Anolis sagrei: one gene and its partner. The protein of the gene in region 1 interacts with the protein of each later gene in a biochemical or structural test. Links are inferred from orthologs where the notes say so. Each region holds a gene or a part of one and is shown in the gene's direction. Other genes may lie near its edges.

Region 1 (10,907 bases):
TGCCCCTCAGCCGCTTAAGCGGCTGAGGGGCAAAAGGAAGGGGCCTGAGGCTGTGAGGAATTCTGGGAGTTGTAGTCCCAAGCTATACAGTGAGGGGGGGCTCACCTCTGCTGTCAATAAGGGGGCGGGGCCTGCAGGAAGTGGGCAGGAAGCATCCCCTCCCAGCAGGAAGTCCAGAAGGTCCTCCTCCTCATGGTCCCCCCACTCCTCCTCCGGGGCCCACCACTCCGCCGCCAGCTCCATCCTCGCCGGTGCCTCGCCTTCACTTCCAACGGGGCAAGGGTGACGTCGCCTACAGAGGCAGAAAAGGAAAGGCCCGCCCCTCCCGCGCGGCTATTGGTCAAGCCAGGCTGAAAGTGGAACCTTATTGGGTTACGCGGCTGTCGCTCATAGTTTGAGGAAATTCCCTCCCTGTGACACCGCCCACAAATAGAGACAGAAAGAGAAGGTCCCGCCTCTCCCGCGTGCCGATTGGACAGGCCCGGCTCAAAGTGGAACCTTATTGGGTTACGCGGCTGCCAATCACAGCTTGAGGAAATTCCCGCCCACAAATTGAGATAGAAATAGAAGGTTCCGCCTCCCCTGCGCGCCGATTGGACAGTCCCGGATTAAAGCGGAACCTCATTGGGCTACGTGGCTGTCGCTCACAGCTTGAGGAAATTTATCTTGGTGGTACCTCCCACAAATAGAGACAGAAAGAGAAGGTTCCGCCTCCCCCGCGCGCCGATTGGATACGTCGAGTTCAATCAGGAAGCTCATTGGGCGTCGTGGCTGCCGCTCAGCGCCTCAGGAAATTTACAAATTGACAGAAAGAGAAGGTCCCGCCCGTCCCACGCGGCTATTGGACAGTCGCGGCTCAAGGCGGAACCTCATTGGGCTGTGCGGCTGCCGCTCAGTGCCTTAGGAAATTTATCTTCGTGGTATCGCCCACAAATAGAGACTGAAAGAGAAGGTCCCGCCTTCACCGCGTGCCGATTGGACAGGCCCAGTTCAAGCCGGAGTCTCATTGGTCTGTGCGGGTGCCTCTCAACGCCTGAGGAAATTCCCCCCTGTGGCACCGCCCACAAATAGAGACAGAAAGAGAAGGTCCCGCCTTCCCCGCGCGTCGATTGGACAGGCCGAGTTCAAGCCGGAGTCTCATTGGGCTATTCGGCTGCCGCTCAGTGCCTAAGGAAATTTATCTTCGTGTCACCGCCCACAAAGAGAGGCAGAAAGAGAAGGTCCCGCCTCCCCAGCGCGCCGATTGGATAGGGCCGGTTCAAGCCGGAGTCTCATTGGGCTACGCGGCTGCCGCTCAGTGCCTTGGGACATTTCCCCTGTGGCACTGCCCACAAAGAGAGAGAGAGACCGAAGAGAAAGCCCCGCCCTTCTCACGCGCTGATTGGTCCGGCCCTGCTCAAGGCGGTGTTTTATTGGGCCACGCGGCTGACACTTAGAGCCTTGGGGAATTCCCCCCTGTGGCACCGCCCACAAAGAGAGAAACAGAGAGAGACAGAGTTAGCCCCGCCTTTCCCCCCGCGCGGATTGGACAGGCCCGGCTCAAGCCGGAATCTCATTGGGCCGCGCGGCTGCCATTCATTGTGCGAATCTCAATCTCGAATGCTGCAGAGAAGAGTCAATGAAATCATCCCAATCCTGCATTTGAGTGTTTTTAATTGTTTTTAGTAATAATAATAATTATTATTAATAACAATAATAAGTAAATTATTACTTATTATTAATAAGTAAATAATTTCAATAAAATTAATTTTAATAAAATAAAAATAAAAGTATTTTATTAATAAATAATTAATAAAATAATTTAATAATAATATTAAATTATATATTAATAAATAAATAATAGTGTTAAAATAATTTTAATAAAATTTTAAAATAAAAATTAAAGTATTTTATTAATAAATAATTTATAAAATAATTTAGTAATAATAATAAATTATATATTAATAAATAAATAATAGTGTTAATTAAAATAATTTTAATAAAATTTTAAAATAAAAATTAAATTATTTTATCAATAAATAATTAATAAAATAATTTAATAATAATTATAAATTATTTATTGATAAATAAACAATAGCGTTAATTAAAATAATTTTAATAAAATTTTAAAATAAAAATTAAATTATTTTATCAATAAATAATTAATAAAATAAATTAATAATAACAATAAATTATTTATTGATAAATAAATAATAGCGTTAATTAAAATAATTTTAATAAAAAATTAAAATAAAAATAAAATTATTTTATCAATAAATAATTAATAAAATAATTTAATAATAGGCAATAATTTTAATGAAAATAGCTTTTAAAAATAACTGTTAAGTTTGATAAAATGTTTAATAAAAATAAAATAATATTATTAACGAAAATAATTTTTTTATTTATAAATAATTAATAAATAATTTAATAATAATAAAAATAATTTATTAATAAATAATAAAGCCCAGTGGGATTCTGTATCCGCGGTTCAGAGAGACGCAGTTCCACCCTCCCCAGGACGCTAAAATCGTATCCCAGGCAGGCCGGGAGAGCAAAAGATCATGCAAAGAAAAGTTTGGAGGCAGTAAAAGACACAAAGTAATACTAGGAAGAGAAAAATTTACTATTAAGTGATACTTTATTGGGTTTTCTCAGCCTGTCACTGAACATTGAGAAAACCAAGGTGCTTTTCCAGCAGTCGCCAGCCAACCTCTCTCCAATGCCAGAGATACAGCTTAATGGTGTAACATTAGAAAATGTTGACCATTTCCGCTACCTTGGCAGCCACCTCTTCACCAAAGTCAACATTGACACCGAAATACAACACTGCCTGAGCTCTGCGAGTGCAGCATTTTCCCGAATGAAGCAGAGAGTGTTTGAGGACCGGGACATCCGTAGGGAGACCAAGGTGCTTGTCTATAAAGCCATTGTCTTCCCAACCCTGCTCTATGCCTGCGAAACGTGGACTGTCTACAGACGTCACATGCAATTCCTGGAACGATTCCATCAGCGCTGCCTCCGGAAAATCCTGCAAATGTCTTGGGAAGACAAGCGGACAAACGTCAGTGTGCTGGAAGAAGCAAAGACCACCAGCACTGAAACGATGGTCTTCTGCCATCAACTCCGCTGGGCCGGCCACGTTGTCCGGATGCCTGACCACCGTCTCCCAAAGCAGTTGCTCTACTCCGAACTCAAGAACGGAAAACGGAATGTTGGTGGGCAGGAAAAGAGATTGAAAGATGGGCTCAAAGCCAACCTCAAAAACTCTGGCTTAGACACTGAGAACTGGGAAGCCCTGGCCCTTGAGCGCTCCAACTGGAGGACAGCTGTGACCAGCAGTGCTGCAGAATTTGAGGAGGCACGAATGGAGGGTGAAAGAGAGAAACGTGCCAGGAGGAAAAAGGCGCGTCAAGCCAACCCCGACCGGGACCGCCTTCCACCTGGAAACCAATGCCTTCACTACGGAAGAAGATGCAGAGCAAGAATAGGGCTCCACAGCCACATACGGACCCACAAGGAAATCCAGAATGGAAGACCATCTTACTCGTCCAACGAGGGATCGCCTAAGTAAGTAAGTACTTTATTGGGGTATTTGATACAATGTTAGGAAGGGGAAGAAAGTGAAGCAAAAAGAAGGTTTCTTGATTGTAGCTGCTGCTGTGGCCACGTTCCATAGAAGTTGGCCCAAGCAGACGATAGAGAACTGTGGAACTCTCTGCTGCAAGTCAGAGTTCTGGGTTCGTTGACCTCAGGTACAAAGATGTGCCAATGCACAACAGATATAGCAGATCTTCAGAAGATCCTCCAGAGCCCACTACTGTCACCCTGGGTGCCAGGACTGTCTCTTAAGACAGTCCGTTTCAAAAGTCCTACTAGAGGTCATATCATTATTTTAATGGCTTTGCATTACTGCAAAACAGCGCAAAGGGATGACATTGGGATGCATTGGGAAATAGCCGAGAAAAGATTAGGAAACTCGGCAGGACCTTTGGCCGAGTGCATGTTAGCCCTGGACTGCTTTAGAGATGTATTACTTACTTACTTACTTAGGCGATCCCTCGTTGGCCGAGTAAGATAGTCTTCCAGGATCAGAACTCTTGTGAGTCTGTAGGTGGCTGTGGAGCCCTATTCTTGACCTGCATCATCTCCCGCAGTGAGGCCATTGGTTTCCGGGTGGAAGGCGGTCCCGGTCAGGGTTGGCTTGACGTGCCTTCCTCTTGGCACATTTCTCCCTTCCGCCCTCCATTCGTGCCTCTTCAAATTCTGCAGCACTGCTAGTCACAGCTGACCTCCAGCTGGAGCTCTCAAAGGCCAGGGCTTCCCAGTTCTATGTGTCTATGCCAGAGTTTTTAAGGTTGGCTTTGAGCCCATCTTTCAATCTCTTTTCCTGCCCTCCAACATTCCGTTTTCCGTTCTTGAGTTCGGAATAGAGCAACTGCTTTGGGAGATGGTGGTCGGGCATCCAGACAACGTGGCCAGTCCAGCGGAGCTGATGGCGGAGGATCATCGCATCAATGCTGGTGGTCTTTGCTTCTTCCAGCACGACATTTGTCTGCCTGTCTTCCCAAGAGATTTGCAGGATTTTCCGGAGGCAGCACTGATGGAATCGTTCCAGGAGTTGCATGTGACGCCTGTAGACAGTCCACGTTTCGCAGGCATAGAGCAGGGTTGGGAGCACAGTAGCTTTATAAACAAGCCCCTTGGTATCCCTATGTATATCCAAGTCCCCAAACACTCTCTGCTTCACTCGGAAAAATGCTGCACTCGCAGAGCTCAGGTGGTGTTGCATTTTAGTGTCAATGTTGACATCTGTAGACTGTCCACCTTTCGCAGGCATATAGCAGGGTTGGGAGGACAATAGTTTTATAGACAAGCCCCTTGGTCTCCCTACGGATGTCCCGGTCCTCAAACACTTTCTGCTTAATTCGGGAAAATGCTGCACTCGCAGAGCTCAGGCGGTGTTGTATTTAGGCGTCGATGTTGACTTTGGTGGAGAGGTGGCTGCCAAGGGAGCGGAAATGGTCCACATTTTCTAATGTTACACCATTAATCTGTATCTCTGGCATTGGGGAGGGGATGGCTGGTGACTGATTGAAGAGCACTTTGGTTTTCTCGATGTTCAGTGACAGGCCGAGCTTCTTATAAGTTTCTGCGAAGGTGTTTAGAGTGGCTTGTAGGTCTTCTTCTGAATGCGCACAGACGACGTTGTCATCAGCATACTGGAGTTCTATAGCAGATGTTGTTGTAACCTTGGTTTTGGCTTTCAGTCTGCTGAGGTTGAATAGCTTGCCATCTGTCTGAGAGATGATTTCCACTCGGGTGGGAAGCTTCCCATCAACAAGGTGAAGTATTATAGCAATGAAGATGGAGAATAAAGTTGGGGCAATAACACATCATCCCTGTTTGACACCCGATTCCACCTTAAATGGGTCACTTTGGGAGCCATTGCAGTGCCAAAACTGTTGCCATCATGTCATCATGGAGGCGCCGTGATGACATGATGGCATGAAAAAATTTTGTGAGTGGAGCTGACACAGCAGGGGGGTGGTGTGCTCCCTGTATGTCGCTTTGGTGAGCAATCTGGCTGCCGCTCGCTGGACCAGTTGAAGTTTCCGAACAGTCTTCAATGGCAACCCCATGTAGAGTGTATTGCAGTAGTCTATTCGGGGGGGGGGGGGATGTAACAAGAGCGTGGACCACTGTGGCCAGATCATATATATATATTAAGGCTGGGTAACAACGGAAAAATTTGTTTCTAAACTCGTTTCGTTTTTAGGGTTTTTTTGCGTTTCGATTTTTAAAAGAATTCCGAAATTTTTCTTTAAAAAAATTCGAAATTTATGAAATTTCGTAAATTTCAGATTGATTAGTTAATGGCGGACGCAATTGCGCAATATGCAAAAAAAACCCCTCCAAATATGCTAAAAATATGCTGAAAAATGCGAAAATAATTACGAAACAATTTCAAAACAATTTCGAAACTATTATGAAACAATTACGAAACAAATTGAAAAAATCGTTTCGATTTTTAATTACTCCTGCATGGCTCAATATCGGATCGTAAGCTAATTTAAATATGAATTAATAACGAATTACGAAATTAACGAACGAAACCGCCCAGCCCTAATATATATATATATATATATATATAGATAACATAAATATTTAATAATTATAATAATGTAATGTAAGAAAATAATAAATTAATAATATGATATAACAAATACAATATTTAATCATAATAATATTTTCCTTTTTCCTTTTCCTCTTTTTTTTCCCCTTTAAAAGCTGTTGCTAAATAAATACATGTTGCAGTACCCCAAAAGTCCCTCTAGGGGGCGGCCGTTTCCTTCCCCTTTTCCCCCACCCGCAAACAAGATGGCGCTGTGGTCTGCCCGCCGCCCCCCCCAGCATGGCGGCGAGGAGGCGGGCCTCTCCCAAGATGGCGGGAGGGAGGCGGCGGGAGGCTCTGGGCATGCGCGGGGCAGGGAGGGAGGGAGGCGGGGCGCCAGGAGGCGGGGCTTGAGGGAGAGGCTGCGCTGGCCACGCCCCTTCGGCCAGAGCCAAAGCCGACGCCTCAAGAGAGAGAGAGAGAGTCCCCAGGTAGGAAGGGAGGAGGGGAGGGGAGGAGGGGAGGGGAGGGGGGCTTTGGGGGGCGTCCTCAGGCCTATTTTGGGGTTGGGGGTGCCTCTCTCTTTGGGGTGAGGAGGGGGCGGGGGTCCCTCTCTGAGGGGGGGGGGGCTTTGGGGGGTCCAAAGAGCCATTCAGGGGTCACTAAAGTCAGGCTGGGGCTTTCAGGCAGGCCTGGGCCCACTTGGGCCTTCCCTTCAAGTGTTTGGGACTACAACTCCCAGAATTCCTCACAGACTCAAGCCCTTTCCTCCCCCCCCCCCCTCCCAGCCACTTAAGCAACTAGCAGAAACTTTTTGGAATAAACTCAGTAATAATAGTAATAATAATAATGTGTGTTTCAAACAATAATAATAATAATAAAGTTTATTTGTAGCCCACCCTACCTCCCCAGGTGGACTTATGACAGAATGTATAATAATAATAGTAATAATAATAATAGTTTCTGTTTCAAATAATAATAATAATAATAATAATCTTCATTTCTAGCCCACCCTACCTCCCCAGGTGGACTTATGAAAGAATGTATAATAATAATAATAATAATAATAATAATTTGTGTTTCAAATAATAATAATAATAATAGTTTGTGTTTCAAATAATAATAATAATAATAATAATAATAATCTTTATTTGTAGCCCACCCTACCTCCCCAGGGGGACTCATGAAAGAATGGGGGCACTTTCTAGAATAATAATAATAATAATAATAATAATAATTTGTGTTTATAATAATAATAATAATAATAATTTAAAAAACTTTATTTGTAGCCCCCCCAGGGGGACTCATATAATAACAATAATAATAACAATAATAATAATAATAATAATAATAATTTGTGTTTCAAATAATAATAATAATAAACTTTCTAGCCCACCCTACCTCCCCAGGGGGACTCATGAAAGAATAGAATGGGGGCACTTTCTATAATAATAATAATAATAATAATAATAATTTCTGTTTCAAATAATAATAATAATAATAGTAATAAACTTTATTTGGAGCCCACACTACCTCCCCAGGGGGACTCGTGAAAGAATGGGGGCACTTTGTATAATAGTAATAATAATAATAATAATAATAATAATAATTAATATTATTATGGAACAAACTCCCAAAGGAGGTAAGATCTGCTGCCTTATGACCTTTAGAAAAAAATTAAAATCATGGTTCTGGGACACTTTCTATTATTATTATTATTTGAAACACAACAAGATGAGTCCACAGCAGACACTCTGCTGGCTGTTGTAGTGGATCACACGTCGGACACTTCCCAGGTGTCTAGGACTGTGTGATGTATCGGCGAATAATGTGTGCATATCCCAATAAGGTGGCCTTTTGCATCTGGCAGGTGATAATTTTGTCAGCACCAATTGTGTTTAAGTGCACGCCAAGGTCTTGAGGAACTGCACCCAGCGTGCCAATCACCACTGGGAACCCCTTGACTGGCTTGTGCCAGAGTCTTTGCAGTTCATAGAATCCAAGAGTTGGAAGAGACCTGGGCCATCCAGTCCAACCCCATTCTGCCAAGAAACAGGAATATTGCATTCAAAGCACCCCTGACAGATGGCCATCCAGCCTCTGTTTCAAAGCTTCCAAAGAAGGAGCCTCCACCACACTCCGGGGCAGAGAGTTCCACTGCTGAACGGCTCTCACAGTCAGGAAGTTCTTCCTCATGTTCAGATGAAATCTCCATGTAAAGTTCAATCTTTAAATCCTCATATCGTGTCAGCTTTTCCATTTATTATTATTATTATTATTATTATTAGAAACACAACAAGATGAGTCCACAGCAGACAAGATCACTCTGCTGGTTGTTGTATTGGATCACACATCGGACACTTCCCAAGGGTCTAGGACTGTGTGATGTCTTGGCAAATAATGCATGCAGATCCCAGTAAGGTGGCCTTTTGCAGCTGACCGGTGGTGATTTTCTCAGCGCCGATTGTGTTTAAGTGCAGGCCAAGGTCTTGAGGCACTGCACCCAGTGTGCCAATCACCACTGGGACCCCCTTGACTGGTTTGTGCCAGAGTCTTTGCAGTTCGATCTTGAAATCCTCGTAGCATGACAGCTTTTCCAGTTGCTTCTCTTCAATCTTGCTGTCGCCTGGGATTGCAACATCAACGATCCATACTTCATTTTTTAATATGATCATGAGGTCAGGAGTCTTGTGCTCCAAAACTCTGAATTTGGAAGTCCCAGAGTAGCTTGACGTGTTCATTCTCTGTTACTTTTTCTGGCTTGTGATCCCACCAGTTCTTGTCGCTGGCAGATGGTGTTTGTGGCACAAGTTCCAATGGATCATCTGAGCAAGGGTGTTGCGCCTCTGCTTGGAGTCTGTCTGCGCGATCTTCTTGCAGCATCTGAGGATGGGATCTATTGTTTCATCTGCTTCCTTGCAGAGTCTACATTTGGGATCTGTCATTGTCGACTTTTCATTTATTATTATTATTATTATTATTATTATTTATAACCCGCTTTATCTCCCCAAAGGGGACTCAAAGCAGCTTGACATGAAACCATTAGTATATAATTTAAAATATAATAATAATAAAATTTTATTTCTATCCCATCTTATCTCCCGAATGGGAACTCAGAACGGTTCAATCAATCAATCAATTGAACTTTATTTATATACCACCACCCCATCTCCTCATGGGTACTAGAGGTGACTTACAACATAAAAGGCAACCATTCAATGCCATAAAAATACACCATAAAATTTAAAATACAGATAAATAGTTGCTGCTGTGTGTTGTGAACCCCTCTGATTCCCCATTGGGAAGATAGGGTGGGATAGAAATAAAGTTTTTATATTGTTATTATTATTATTATTATTATTATTATTATTATTGTCCCTTGGTGGCACGATGCATTAAACCCTTGTGATGACAGGACTGCTGGCTGAAAGGTTGGCGATTCAAATCCAGGGAACAGGATGAGCTCTTGTCCGTCAGCCCCACGGGATGGTAACATATCTGGACATCCCCTGGGCAACGTCCTTGCAGACAGACAATTCTCTCACACCAGAAGCAACTTACAGTATACTCTCAATTCGCTCCCAACACGATTAAAAAAAAGATTATATTTTAAATTATTTACTAATGCTTTCATGTCAAGCTGCTTTGAATCCCTTTGGGGAGATAAAGTGAGGTATTAATAATAATAATAATAATAATAATAATAATAATACAAAGCACTCCCATTCTTTCAAAATGTTGCTGATGATAAAGGATGATAAAAACATCAAATCATCTGGGAGTCCCCTGGGCAACGTCCTTGCAGACGGCCAATTCTCTCACACCAGAAGCGACTTGAAGTTTCTCAGGTCACTCCTGACACGACAAAAAAATAATAATGTTGCTGCTGCTAGTTGGTTTTCCCTTGATCCAAGAAGACAACAAGTCTTTTAAAACAGACTTTTATGGACTTATTGCAGGGCATTTCCAATGCCACGATGACTATTCTCAGGTCTATTAGACTTGCATCATTCCCAGTTTTGTGACTTCTGAACTTCATCCGTTATGATATGCATTATAACTCTGTGATGTGTCTCGTTTCATCCATTGTAATGTACATAATAATGATGATGATGATGATGATGATGATGGACAAGGAGGAGGCTGTCCAGAGAAGGGCCGCCCTAATGTCCAGAAGCATGGAAGCTGCAAAATCCTTCGTAAAGAGATGGACATGTTCATCTCAGTGATGTGAGGCTGAGAGAAAGGGACATGACAGCCTTGTTTAGATATTGGAACAAATAACATATTAAGGAGGAGGCCACGCTTGTTGCTCCGGAGACACAATGGAGCTGTGGATTCAAAGAGCAGGAAAAGAGATCCCACCTCAAACGTTTAGGAAGTACTTCCTGACCATCACAGCTGTTTGGAATCTGCTGCTGGTGCTGCTTTAAAATGTGATGCAAAGTTTCTTTCTCTGCAAGCGTTTAATCAGAGGCTGCATGGTCATCTGTCGGGAGGTATCGGATTGTGCTTTCTCTGCATGGCAGGGGTTTGGACTGGATGACCTTTGGGGATCCTTTCCAACACTAGATTTATAATTATATTATTCTTAAGCAGAGGCTGGATGGTCATCTGTTGGAAGGTATCGGATTGTGCTTTTCTTGCATGGCAGGAGTTTGGACTGGATGACCTTTGGGGATCCTTTCCAATACTAGGATTATGATTCTATTATTATACTGACTGTGAGAGCCGTTCAGCAGTGGAACTCTCTGTCCCGGAGTGTGGTGGAGGCTCCTTCTTTGCAAGCTTTTAAACAGAGGCTGGATGGCCA
Region 2 (10,755 bases), on another chromosome or scaffold:
GCAGATATCAGATCGGCCCCCTCCCTGCTGGCGTTTCGGAGGAAAGTGAAGTCCTGGCTGTTCGAACAAGCATTTGATTAAGCAGTGTAATTGAACATAGGAATACAGAATAATGGATGATGAGACTGGATTCTGATTTTACTGTTGAGGCGCTAATGATTGTTATACGGATGTTTAGTGATTTATGTTACAATTGTTTTTAATTGCCCTATACTTGTCTCGTGATGTTTTGTATTGATGTTGTTCATCGCTTTGAGTCACCTGAGGGCTGAGAAAAGCGGTATATAAATAAAGTAAGTAAGTAAATAAATAAATAAAAAATGAAGAATTTAAAACAGCACCATAGCCTACTTCTTCTTCTGTGTCTTCAGCACTATGTTATAACTGACATAGAAGTATTCTAGATTCATCAAGGTCTACCTCCAGAATAACAAGCAAATAGTAATAGCATTAGTTGGTATCTATGCCCCCTTCTACACAGTCATATAAAATCCAGATTATTTGCTTTAAATTGGGTTATATGACAGTGTAGACTTATATAATGCAGTTCAAATCAGATAATCTGGATTATATGGCCGTGCACTCACTCAAAGCATTTATTTCGGTCATAGACCAGCACAGGAAATAAAAGTCACATTACTATTACATTTTCTATTACTTTCCCCCCTAAAATTGGTATAAGATGTTTTATAGATGGCATCTCACACCCCAGCATCTGGCAAGGTGCTATAAGAATCAAAACAACAAATGTTGGAAATGTGGGGAAGAAGTGGGAACCATCTTCCATTCTTGGGGGTCCTGCAAAGAAGTTAAAAACTACTGGAAAAAAATACACGAAGACTCTCAAAAATATTAAAATTGAAATATGATTTCAGGCCTGAATACTATTTATTTATTTCATGCATTTCTACCCCGCCCTTCTCCCCCGAAGGGTCTCAGAGCGGTCTTACACTAGCATCATATGATGCTATCAACATATAAACAATCAAAAATTACATTTAAAACATTAAAAATCAATAAAAACACATTATACAATTCATTAAACAATAAGTTAAACATGCTAATTAAAACCAAATCGAAGTCAGTTTAAATCCAATGTTAGAGATATCCTAAGTTTCTTTCCAATTGCCGCTGTCCACTAATCGAACGTCTGGTCCCAAAGCCAAGTCTTCAATTGTCTTCTAAAGGACAGAAGGGAGGTGGCCAACTTGATGTCCTTAGGGAGAGAGTTCCACAGACGGGGCCACTGCCGAGAAGGCCCTGTCTCTTGTCCCCACCAACCGCGTTTGCAAAAGTGGTACGATGAGCAAGACCTCTCCTGACAATCATAAGCTTCATGATTGTTCATAATAGGAGATACATTCAGACAGGTAATCTGGGCCAGAATGTTTAGGGCTTTAAAGGTTAAAACCAGTACTTTGAATTGTGCTCGGAAGCTGATCAGCAGCCAGTGGAGCTGACGTAACAGAGGAGTTGTACACTCCCTGTATGCCGTTCCAGTGAGTAACCTGGCTGCCAACCATTGGACTAATTGGAGCTTCCGAGAGGTCTTCAAAGGCAGCCCCACATAGAGAGCATTGCAGTAGTCTATTCGGGATGTAACAAGAGCGTGGACCACTGTGGCCAAATCAGACTTCCCAAGGAGCGGGTGCAGCTGGCGCACAAGTTTTAATAGTGCAAAAACTCTCCGGGCCACCACCGAGACCTGGGCTTCCAGGCTCAGCGATGAGTCCAGGGTCATTCCCAAACCTAACAGATTTCAAGATAGAGAGGAATAAGGATAAAATATTCTGCACGTAAATGTAAATACAAATACTGAAGCACAATAGGGGTGAGGGAGCAGAAGGGGAAACAGGGTGAAAACATACAATGCACAGGTCTATCAGCAATTATAGAATCAAGGAAGATGATTACTGGATACACAGTTAACTCTTGGGACCAGTCACCTGTACACAGATGACGTCCAACTCTGTCAATCCTTCCCACTTGCTACTAAGGAGGCTGTTCAGGTACTGAACTGGTGCTTGGCCGCTTTGACGATCTGGATGAGGGCGAACAAATTGAAATTGAATCCAGACAAGACAGGGGCACTCCTGGTCAGTCGTAAGGCTGAACAGGGTATAGGGTTGCAGCCTGAGTTGGATGGGGTTACACTCCCCCTGAAGATGCAGGTTCGCAGCTTAGGTGTGATCCTGGACTCATTGGTGAGCCTGGAACCCCCAGGTTTTGGCAGTGACCAGGGGAGCATTTGCACAGTTAAAACTTGTGTGTCAGCTGTGCCCGGACCTTGGGAAGTCTGACTTGGCCACGGTAGTCCACGCTCTGGTTACATCCCGTATAACGTACTGCAACGCGCTCTACGCAGGGTTGCCTTTGAAGACTGTCCAGAAGCTTCAAATGGTCCAACGGATGGCAGCCAGATTACTAAAAGGAGCAACACTCAGGGAGCATACAACTCCTCTGTTGCACCAGCTCCACTAGCAGCCAGTTTGCTACCGGGTCTATAAAGTCCTAAACGGTTCTGGCCCAACTTACCAGGCGGAACGCATCATCCTTTATGAACCTGCTAGGAATTTAAGATCGTCCGAGGAGGCCCTGCTCCCGATCCTGCTTGCGTCACAAACACGTTTAGTGGGAATGAGAGACAGGGCCTTTTCAGTGGTGGCCCCTCGACTATGGAACGCTCTTCCTGGGGACATTCGATCGGCCCCCTCCCTCTTAACATTTCGGAAGAGAGTCAAGACTTGGTTGTTGGAGTAAGTGTTTGAAAATGCAAGGAAAAAGACATAGGAATTGGAACGACTGGACGACGAGATGGGACAATGTTTTTATTAGGAGATGCAAATGATCTTTGTTTTTAGTATTCTTGTTATGGTTTTATATTATGTGTTAATGTTTTAAAATGTTTTATGGTGTTTTGGGGCATCATATTGTTGCCATTGTAAACTGCCCTGAGTCGCCTGAGGGCTGAGAAGTGCGGTATACAAATACAGTAAATAATAATAATAATAATAATAATAATAATAATTCCCTGACAGATTTTGTATGCTGCTTCACAAAACTTTGCAACATTGTAAGTTGTAGCTGAATTAGTACCTATATGGCAATGTAGAAGGAGCTTTCAAGTCAGTTATCAACACGTGGCAAATCATTCATTTCCTTGGATTTTCTTAGGCAAAGAATATTCAGAGCTGGTCGCACCTACAGCCCCTGATTTTCCTTGGTGGTCTCCCTTCCAAGTGCCAACCAAATCTGAGTCTGCCTAGCTTCAAAGTCAGAGCATCCGATGCCTTCAGCATTTAGGCCTTGGGCATTGTATATCCCACCTATGTTCTCTGTATGGCTTGGATCTGAACACAAGGGGGCAGTAAAGGAGAAGCTGAAAACAAAACTTTCAGGTGTACATAACATATTAAAAGATGCAACTAATTACATAAGCAGCATATTCCCTTCTTCCCAATTATCAACGAATTCAGTTCCTTAATGTCTGGTGTTTTGGGTGATCTTTGTTCAATTACTTAAACTGCAGGCACCAAACCTTCTTCAATCAGTTATGTTTCTTTGATAAAAACTTTACAGTTGGACTCGTTTGCAAACTATGGATAATTTGGGGCTGATCCATCAAAGCTGGGTGGCTTATTACCTCCTTAGCATAATCTGTGTATGTTCTTGGAACCATAATAATAACAACAACAATAATAATATACTTTATTTATATTCCGCTCTGTATCCCCGAGGGGACTCAGAGCAGATTACAATATACACGGAAACAGTAATTATTATAGTAGATTGCCTGGGAGAAGTTAAAAAAGGGTTTTCCTTTCAAAAGAAAAGAAACAGTTGTCAAAGCCATTTGCCTGTTACTTGTGGACAAGATTAAGAAAGCTACCAGTCATTTGTATGATTGTCGTTGAAGACTGAAGAAGTATTTGTTTAATTTGTTCAACAATAAAGGACTTTGTTAAACCTTTCAAGCCTCTAAAGACTCTTCCAGAGGAAAATCCTTAGGGCCTCTCTATCAAGGCGCCCTGGCTTTCCGCTGGGCACAAAGTGCACGTCCTGTTCAAAAGACAATTATTACAGGCCCAGTGAGTGACAGCATTATTATTATTATTACTAGCTATCCCCTGCCACGCGTTGCTGTGGCCCAGTCTGGTGATCTGGAAAATGAAGTAATGAGAAAGTGTTGGTTTCTAATATATGTAATTTCTTTATGCTTGTGTTGATATAGAGATTGTCTAGTTGGCCTACTCTGGAGCATGCAAAATAGAATTGTCCTTGTTTAGTGGTCCCTTTCAAATCTATGATACTATATCTGTGTGTGTGTGTGTGTGTGTGAGTCATATATCTCTCTCTATATCTATGGCTGGGTGGTTCTTTGTCAGGAGGGCTTTGATTACATTTTCTTGCCCTGGTAAAGGGAGTTGGACTGAATGGCCTTAAGTATTTTCTGTTGGTCATGGGGGTTCCGTGTGGGAGGTTTGTCCCAATTCTGTCATTAGTGTGGTTCAGAACGCTCTTTGATTGTAGGTGAACTATAAATCCCAGTAACTACAACTCCCAAATGTCAAGGTCTTTTTTCCCCAAACTCCATCTGTATTTATATTTGGGCATATTGAGTATTTGTGCCAAGTTTGGTCCAGATCCAACATTCTTTGAGTCCACAGTGCTCTCTAGATGTAGGTGAACTACAATTCCAAAATTCAAGGTCAGTGCCCACCAAACCCTTTCAGTATTTTCTGGTGGTCATGGGAGTTCTGTGTGCCAAGTTTGGTTGAATTCCATCGTTGGTGGTGTTCAGAATGCTCTTTGATTATAGATGAACTATAAATCCCAACAACTACAACTCCCAAATGACAAAATCATAATTTTTGAGTGATGGTCATTCCTTGTGTAGTGAGACGTTTTGTTGCCAAATTTGGTGTGATTTCGTTCATTAGTTCTTTTGTTTTTAAGGTACTCATTATGCACTGAGCATTTTATATATAGAGATTATTATTATTATTATTATTATTATTATTATTATTATTATTATTAGAGGAGTTGGGAGGGAAAGCCACTCCATGTGTAATGCAGTTTGACATCACTTTAACCACCATGGCTCAATGCTGTGGAATTATGGAAGCTGTAGTTTTACAGAGTGTTCAGCCCTCTCTGCCAAAAGTGCTGGTGCCTCACCAAATTATATTCTGGGTTATATGGCAGTGTAGACTCATATAATCCAGCTCAAAGCAAATAATGTGGATAATCTCATCCGATAATCTAGATCAGTGTTTCTCAACCTGGGGGTCGGGACCCTTGGAGGGGTCGCGAGGGGGTATCAGAGGGGTCACCAAAGATCATGAGGAAACACAGTATTTTCTGTTGCTCATGAGGGTTACATGTGGGAAGTTTGGCCCAATTCTATCGTTGGGGGAGTTCAGAATGCTCTTTGATTGTAGGTGAACTATAAATCCCAGCAACTACAACTCCCAAATGTCAAGGTTTATTTTCCCCAAACTCCACCAGTGTTCACATATGGGCTAATTGAGTTTTCATGCCAAGTTTGGTCCAGATCCATAATTGTTTGAGTCCACAGTGCTCTCTGGATGTAACTGAACTACAACTCCAAAACTCAAGGTCAATGCACACCAAACCCTTCCACTATTTTCTGTTGGTATTTGGGAGTTCTGTGTACCAAGATTGGTTCAATTCCATTGTTGGTGGAGTTCATAATGCACTTTGACTGCCGGTGAACCATAAATCCCAGCAACTACAACTTCCAAATGACAAAATCAACCCCCCACCCCACCCTACCATTATTCAAATTTGGGCATATTGGGTATTTGTGCCAAATTTAGTCCAGAGAATGAAAATACATCCTGCATATCAGATACTTACATTACGATTCATAACAGTATTACAGTTATTAAAGTAGTAACGAAAATAATTTTATGGTTGGGGGTCACCACAACATGAGGAACGGTATTAAGGGGTCACAGCATTAGCAAGATTGAGAAACACTGATCTAGATTATATGGCAGTGTAGAAGGGGCCTCTAGCAGAGAAAGTGGGTGCCTCGCCAAACCACAAATCCCATCTTGCTGCATTGATAATCAAGATTATGTGGCAGTGTGGAGCCAGCCTGAGTTTGAACAAGGGAGACTCACTTCAGCCAAACACAGCACCTCCTTGTTCAGCAGAGAAGGCGGAAGAGAAGCCGCCTCTCCTTTTCTGTTTGTTTCCATGAACTTTGGAAAGAAAATGATAATATCTCAAACTGCATCTCAAACCCTGGCGAGAGGCGGGGGCTGTGGGAAAATGGGAAGAGGAGGGAGAGGTCTGGAAAGTGTCATAAAGGTCAGAAGGAGTCGGTCACTCCATCTCTCCTCCCCAACAAAGCAGTTCCTAAAGGAAAGAGGCGGATCCTGCTAAGCCTTGGTGACCTGAGCCAGGCAGAGAGGGAGGGAGAGTGGGGCGGGCACACAGCTGTTTCCCTGCTCTCTTTCAAGCATCTCTCAGGGACAGAGGCGCCCAGAAAAGTTTCTTCCAACTCTACCCCAGCAGCTCCTCTGAACAGGCAAAGCATGGGCACATTCTCCTCCTCTTCCACTCTCCTTGGAATGTGTAGCATGCTCTTCTTCACCTCCAAAGTCTGGGGTAAGTTGCACTTGAGACAAGGCTGATTATTGCATTTCTCATTTCTGTGTATGGCTGGGAAAGTTGGGATAGGGGAGAAGTTTGGGGTGACTCTCATCAAGAGTGTAGAATGAATGCAATTTGGTATCACTTTAACTGGAGTTTCATGCAGTTTGACAACACTTTTAACTGTCAAAGAAAGTTGGTGCCCCACCAAACGACAGATCCCAAATTGCTGGGATTTGTAGTTTTGGCGAGGCACCAGCCACCGTTGACAGAGATGTGCCACAGACCTTATTTAATTATTTACAACATTTATATGCCGCCCTTCTCACCCCAAAGGGGACTCAGAGCGGCTTACAAGATATATCAATATCTATATCTCTATCTCTATCTATCTATCTAAATAAATAAATAAAAATGTAATGTTCGTTTGTGGGATTAACAGAACTCAAAAACCACTGGACGAATTGACACCAAATTTGGACACAAGATACCTAACAACCCAATGTATGTCCTTCACTCAAAAAAACCTGATTTTGTCATTTGGGAATTGTAGTTGCTGGGATTTATAGTTCACCAACAATCAAAGAGCAATCTGAACCCCACCAACAATAGAATTGAACCAAACTTGGCACACAGAACACCCATGACCAACATAAAACACTAGAAGGGTTTGGTGGGCATTGACATTGAGTTTGGGAGATGTAGTTCACCTACATGCAGAGAGCCCTGTGGGCTCAAACCATGATGGATCTCGACCAAACTTGGCACGAATATTCCATATGCCCAAATATGAGCACAGATGGAGTTTGGGGAAAATAGACCTTGACATTTGGGACTTGTAGTTACTGGGATTTATAGTTCACCTACAATCACAGAGCATTCTGAACCCCACCAACGATAGAATTGGGCCAAACTTCCCACACAGAACCCCCATGTGGGCCACAGCAACGCATGGCAGGGGACGGCTAGTCTATATATATATATATATATATATATATGCAATATATTATATTATTAGCATAGTGCAATATTAGTATTAATAACGGCGTTCCATGCAGTCATACTGGCCACATGACCTTGGAGGTGTCTACGGACAACGCTGGCTCTTTGGCTTAGAAATAGAGATGAGCACTACACCCCTGAGTCGAACACAACTGGACTTAATGTCGGGGAAAACCTTTACCTATATTCTACTATACCATTATATTGTAATATTATTAGTAATATTACATGCAATATAAATATATAATTGTAATATCATATTATTAGGCAAAGGCAAAGGTTTTCCCCTGATATTACGTCCAGTTGTGTCCGACTCTAGGGTGTGGTGCTCATCTCCATTTCTAAGCCGAAGAGCCGGCATTGTCCATAGACACCTCCAAGGTCATGTGGGTGGCATGACTGCATGGAGCGCCGTTACCTTCCCACCGGCGCGGTGCCTATTGATCTACTCACATTTGCATGTTTTCGAACTGCTAGGTTGGCAGAAGTTGGGGCAGACAGCGGGAGCTTACGCCGCTCCCCGGAATCGAACCTGCAACCTTTCGGTCAACAAGCTCAGCAGCTCAGCACTTTAACCCTTTGCACCACCAGGGGCTCTTACAAGATACATATACATACAATATATTATATTATTAGCATAGTGCAATATCAGTATTAAATATTATATTGTACTATACCATTATATTGTAATATTATTAGTAATATAAATATATAATTATAATATCATATTATTAGGTAAAGGTAAAGGTTTTCCCTTGACACTAAGTCCATTCGTGTCCGACTCTAGGGTGTGGTGCTCATCTCCATTTCTAAACCGAAGAGCCAGCATTGTCCATAGACACCTCCAAGGTCATGTGGGTGGCATTACTGCATGGAGCGCCGTTACCTTTCCACCGGCGCGATACCTATTGATCTACTCACATTTGCATGTTTTCGAACTGCTAGGTTGGCAGAGGTTGGGGCTGACAGCAGGAGCTCATGCCGCTCCCCGGAATCGAACCTGCGACCTTTCGGTCAACAAGCTCAGCAGCTCAGCACTTTAACCCTTTGCACCACCAGGGGCTCTTACAAGATACATATACATACAATATATTATATTATTAGCATAGTGCAATATCAGTATTAAATATTACTATATTGTACTATACCATTATATTGTAATATTATTAGTAATATTACACGCAATATAAATATATAATTGTAATATCATATTATTAGGCAAAGGTAAAGGTTTTCCCCTGATATTACGTCCAGTTGTGTCCGACTCTAGGGTGTGGTGTTCATCTCCATTTCTAAGCCGAAGAGCCAGCATTGTCCATAGACACCTCCAAGGTCATGTGGGTGGCATGACTGCATGGAGCGCTGTTACCTTCCCACCGGCGCGGTGCCTATTGATCTACTCACATTTGCATGTTTTCGAACTGCTAGGTTGGCAGAAGCTGGGGCTGACAGTGGGAGCTCACGCCACTCCCCGGATTCGAACCTGCGACCTTTTGGTCAACAAACTCAGCCACTCAGCTGTTTAATCCACTAGGGGCTCCTAATAATTATATTATTAGTAGTGTCATATTGCATTACATTATATATATATATATAACAACATTTAAAAATATTTCTTTTCATTGAAAATATTACCAATAGGTTCTTGTGGGTTTTTTCGGGCTATAGGGCCATGTTCTAGAGGCATTTCTCCTGATGTTTCGCCTGCATCTATGGCAAGCATCCTCAGAGGTGGTGAGGTCACCACCTCTGAGGATGCTTGCCATAGATGCAGGCGAAACGTCAGGAGAAATGCCTCTAGAACATGGCCCTATAGCCCGAAAAAACCCACAAGAACCTAGTGATTCCAGCCATGAAAGCCTTCGACAATATTACCAATATTTTGTATTTAGAATATTTGTATTTCATTATTCAGACAGAGGCCAAAGGGGGCGCTAAAGAGAGAAAGATGGTCCATTTTATGGGGGAGAGGGGGTTGAAGAAGTGAAACTATTTTCCTGTTTTCCTGATATTGCCCCCACCCATTTCGCTGTCATGGAAAATCCCTCATTTATGAAATGAGAAGTTGGTGGGAGAATAATCAGCGAAAACGGGGAAACAGGTTCTCCTCCTAAAAAATTGACTATATTTCTCTGTCTAGCACCCCCTTGTGGCCTCCACCCGGATAATGCAACAGTATCAAATAAACAAATATCAGCTAGAAATTGGAGGAAAGTGGGTGGAATTCTTTGGCAGAGAATGAGTGAAAGGAAGTGTGTCAAAAATCCCAATTCAAACAGGAGTCCCAAGTAAATTGTGCAGAATTGCAGCACTGTTGTGTATTATTTACCCAGGGATTTGTTTCTTATCTCTTGGAACAAAGCCAGTTTTTAAAAATACAATCTCTGTACAGGAAGGGTTTGTTTACAAAGTGCAGTTTAAAAGGTCTGTTTCTTTGGAGCATAGGTAATGCGTTTCTAGAGCTATGTTCTGGTTGAGCATGCTTTATCTGGAATGCTGAAATATGATACACTCCCAAATTGAAAAGTGCTGACATGGGCGGCTGAGAAAGTGGCACCTTTGCTTTCTGAGGGTTCAGTTTACATCAGTCCTTTGATACACAAAATTATTTAAAATATTGTATAAGGTGTATGTGTAACAGCTGCTGGGTGAGATCATCCGGAGTTTTGGAGTTCAATGTCATCTGTACGCAGATGACGTCCAACTCTATCACTCATTTTCACCAGATGCTAAGGAGGCTGTCCAAGACCTGAACCATGCCTGGCCGCTGTGATGGTCTGGATGAGGGCAAGCAAATTGAAGTTGAATCCAGACAAGACAGAAGTCCTCCTGGTCAGTCACAAGGCTGAACAGGGTATAGGGTCACAACCTGTGCTGGATGGGGTCACACTCCTCTTGAAGACACAAGTTCGTAAATTGAGGGTCCTCCTGGATTCATCACTGAGCTTGGAATCCCAGGTTGCAGCGGTGTCCAGGGGAGTGTTCACACAATTAAACTTGTTCACCAGCTGCGCCCGTACCTTGGGAAGTTAGACTTGGCCACGGTGGTCCATGCTCTCGTTACATCTAGGATAGACTACTGCAACGCACTCTACATGGGGTTGTCTTTGAAGACTGCTCAGAAGCTTC

What was found.
Region 2: the proteins of TLN1 (region 1) and ITGB3 form a complex in vitro, tested with the Homo sapiens proteins (6 studies listed by BioGRID and IntAct, with this or other methods). The link is inferred for Anolis sagrei from reciprocal best matches to the Homo sapiens genes TLN1 and ITGB3.

Annotation. Positions count from the first base shown.
Region 1 is NC_090022.1:302,402,962-302,413,868, forward strand, and holds the start of TLN1 (talin-1), read left to right. Parts: upstream 1-6,497; 5' UTR 6,498-6,585; intron 6,586-10,907. Other genes in the region: CREB3 (cyclic AMP-responsive element-binding protein 3), read right to left, coding at 106-243. UniProt on the Homo sapiens protein: High molecular weight cytoskeletal protein concentrated at regions of cell-matrix and cell-cell contacts. Involved in connections of major cytoskeletal structures to the plasma membrane.
Region 2 is NC_090026.1:45,734,125-45,744,879, reverse strand, and holds the start of ITGB3 (integrin beta-3), read left to right. Parts: upstream 1-6,356; 5' UTR 6,357-6,566; coding exon 6,567-6,639; intron 6,640-10,755. UniProt on the Homo sapiens protein: Integrin alpha-V/beta-3 (ITGAV:ITGB3) is a receptor for cytotactin, fibronectin, laminin, matrix metalloproteinase-2, osteopontin, osteomodulin, prothrombin, thrombospondin, vitronectin and von Willebrand factor.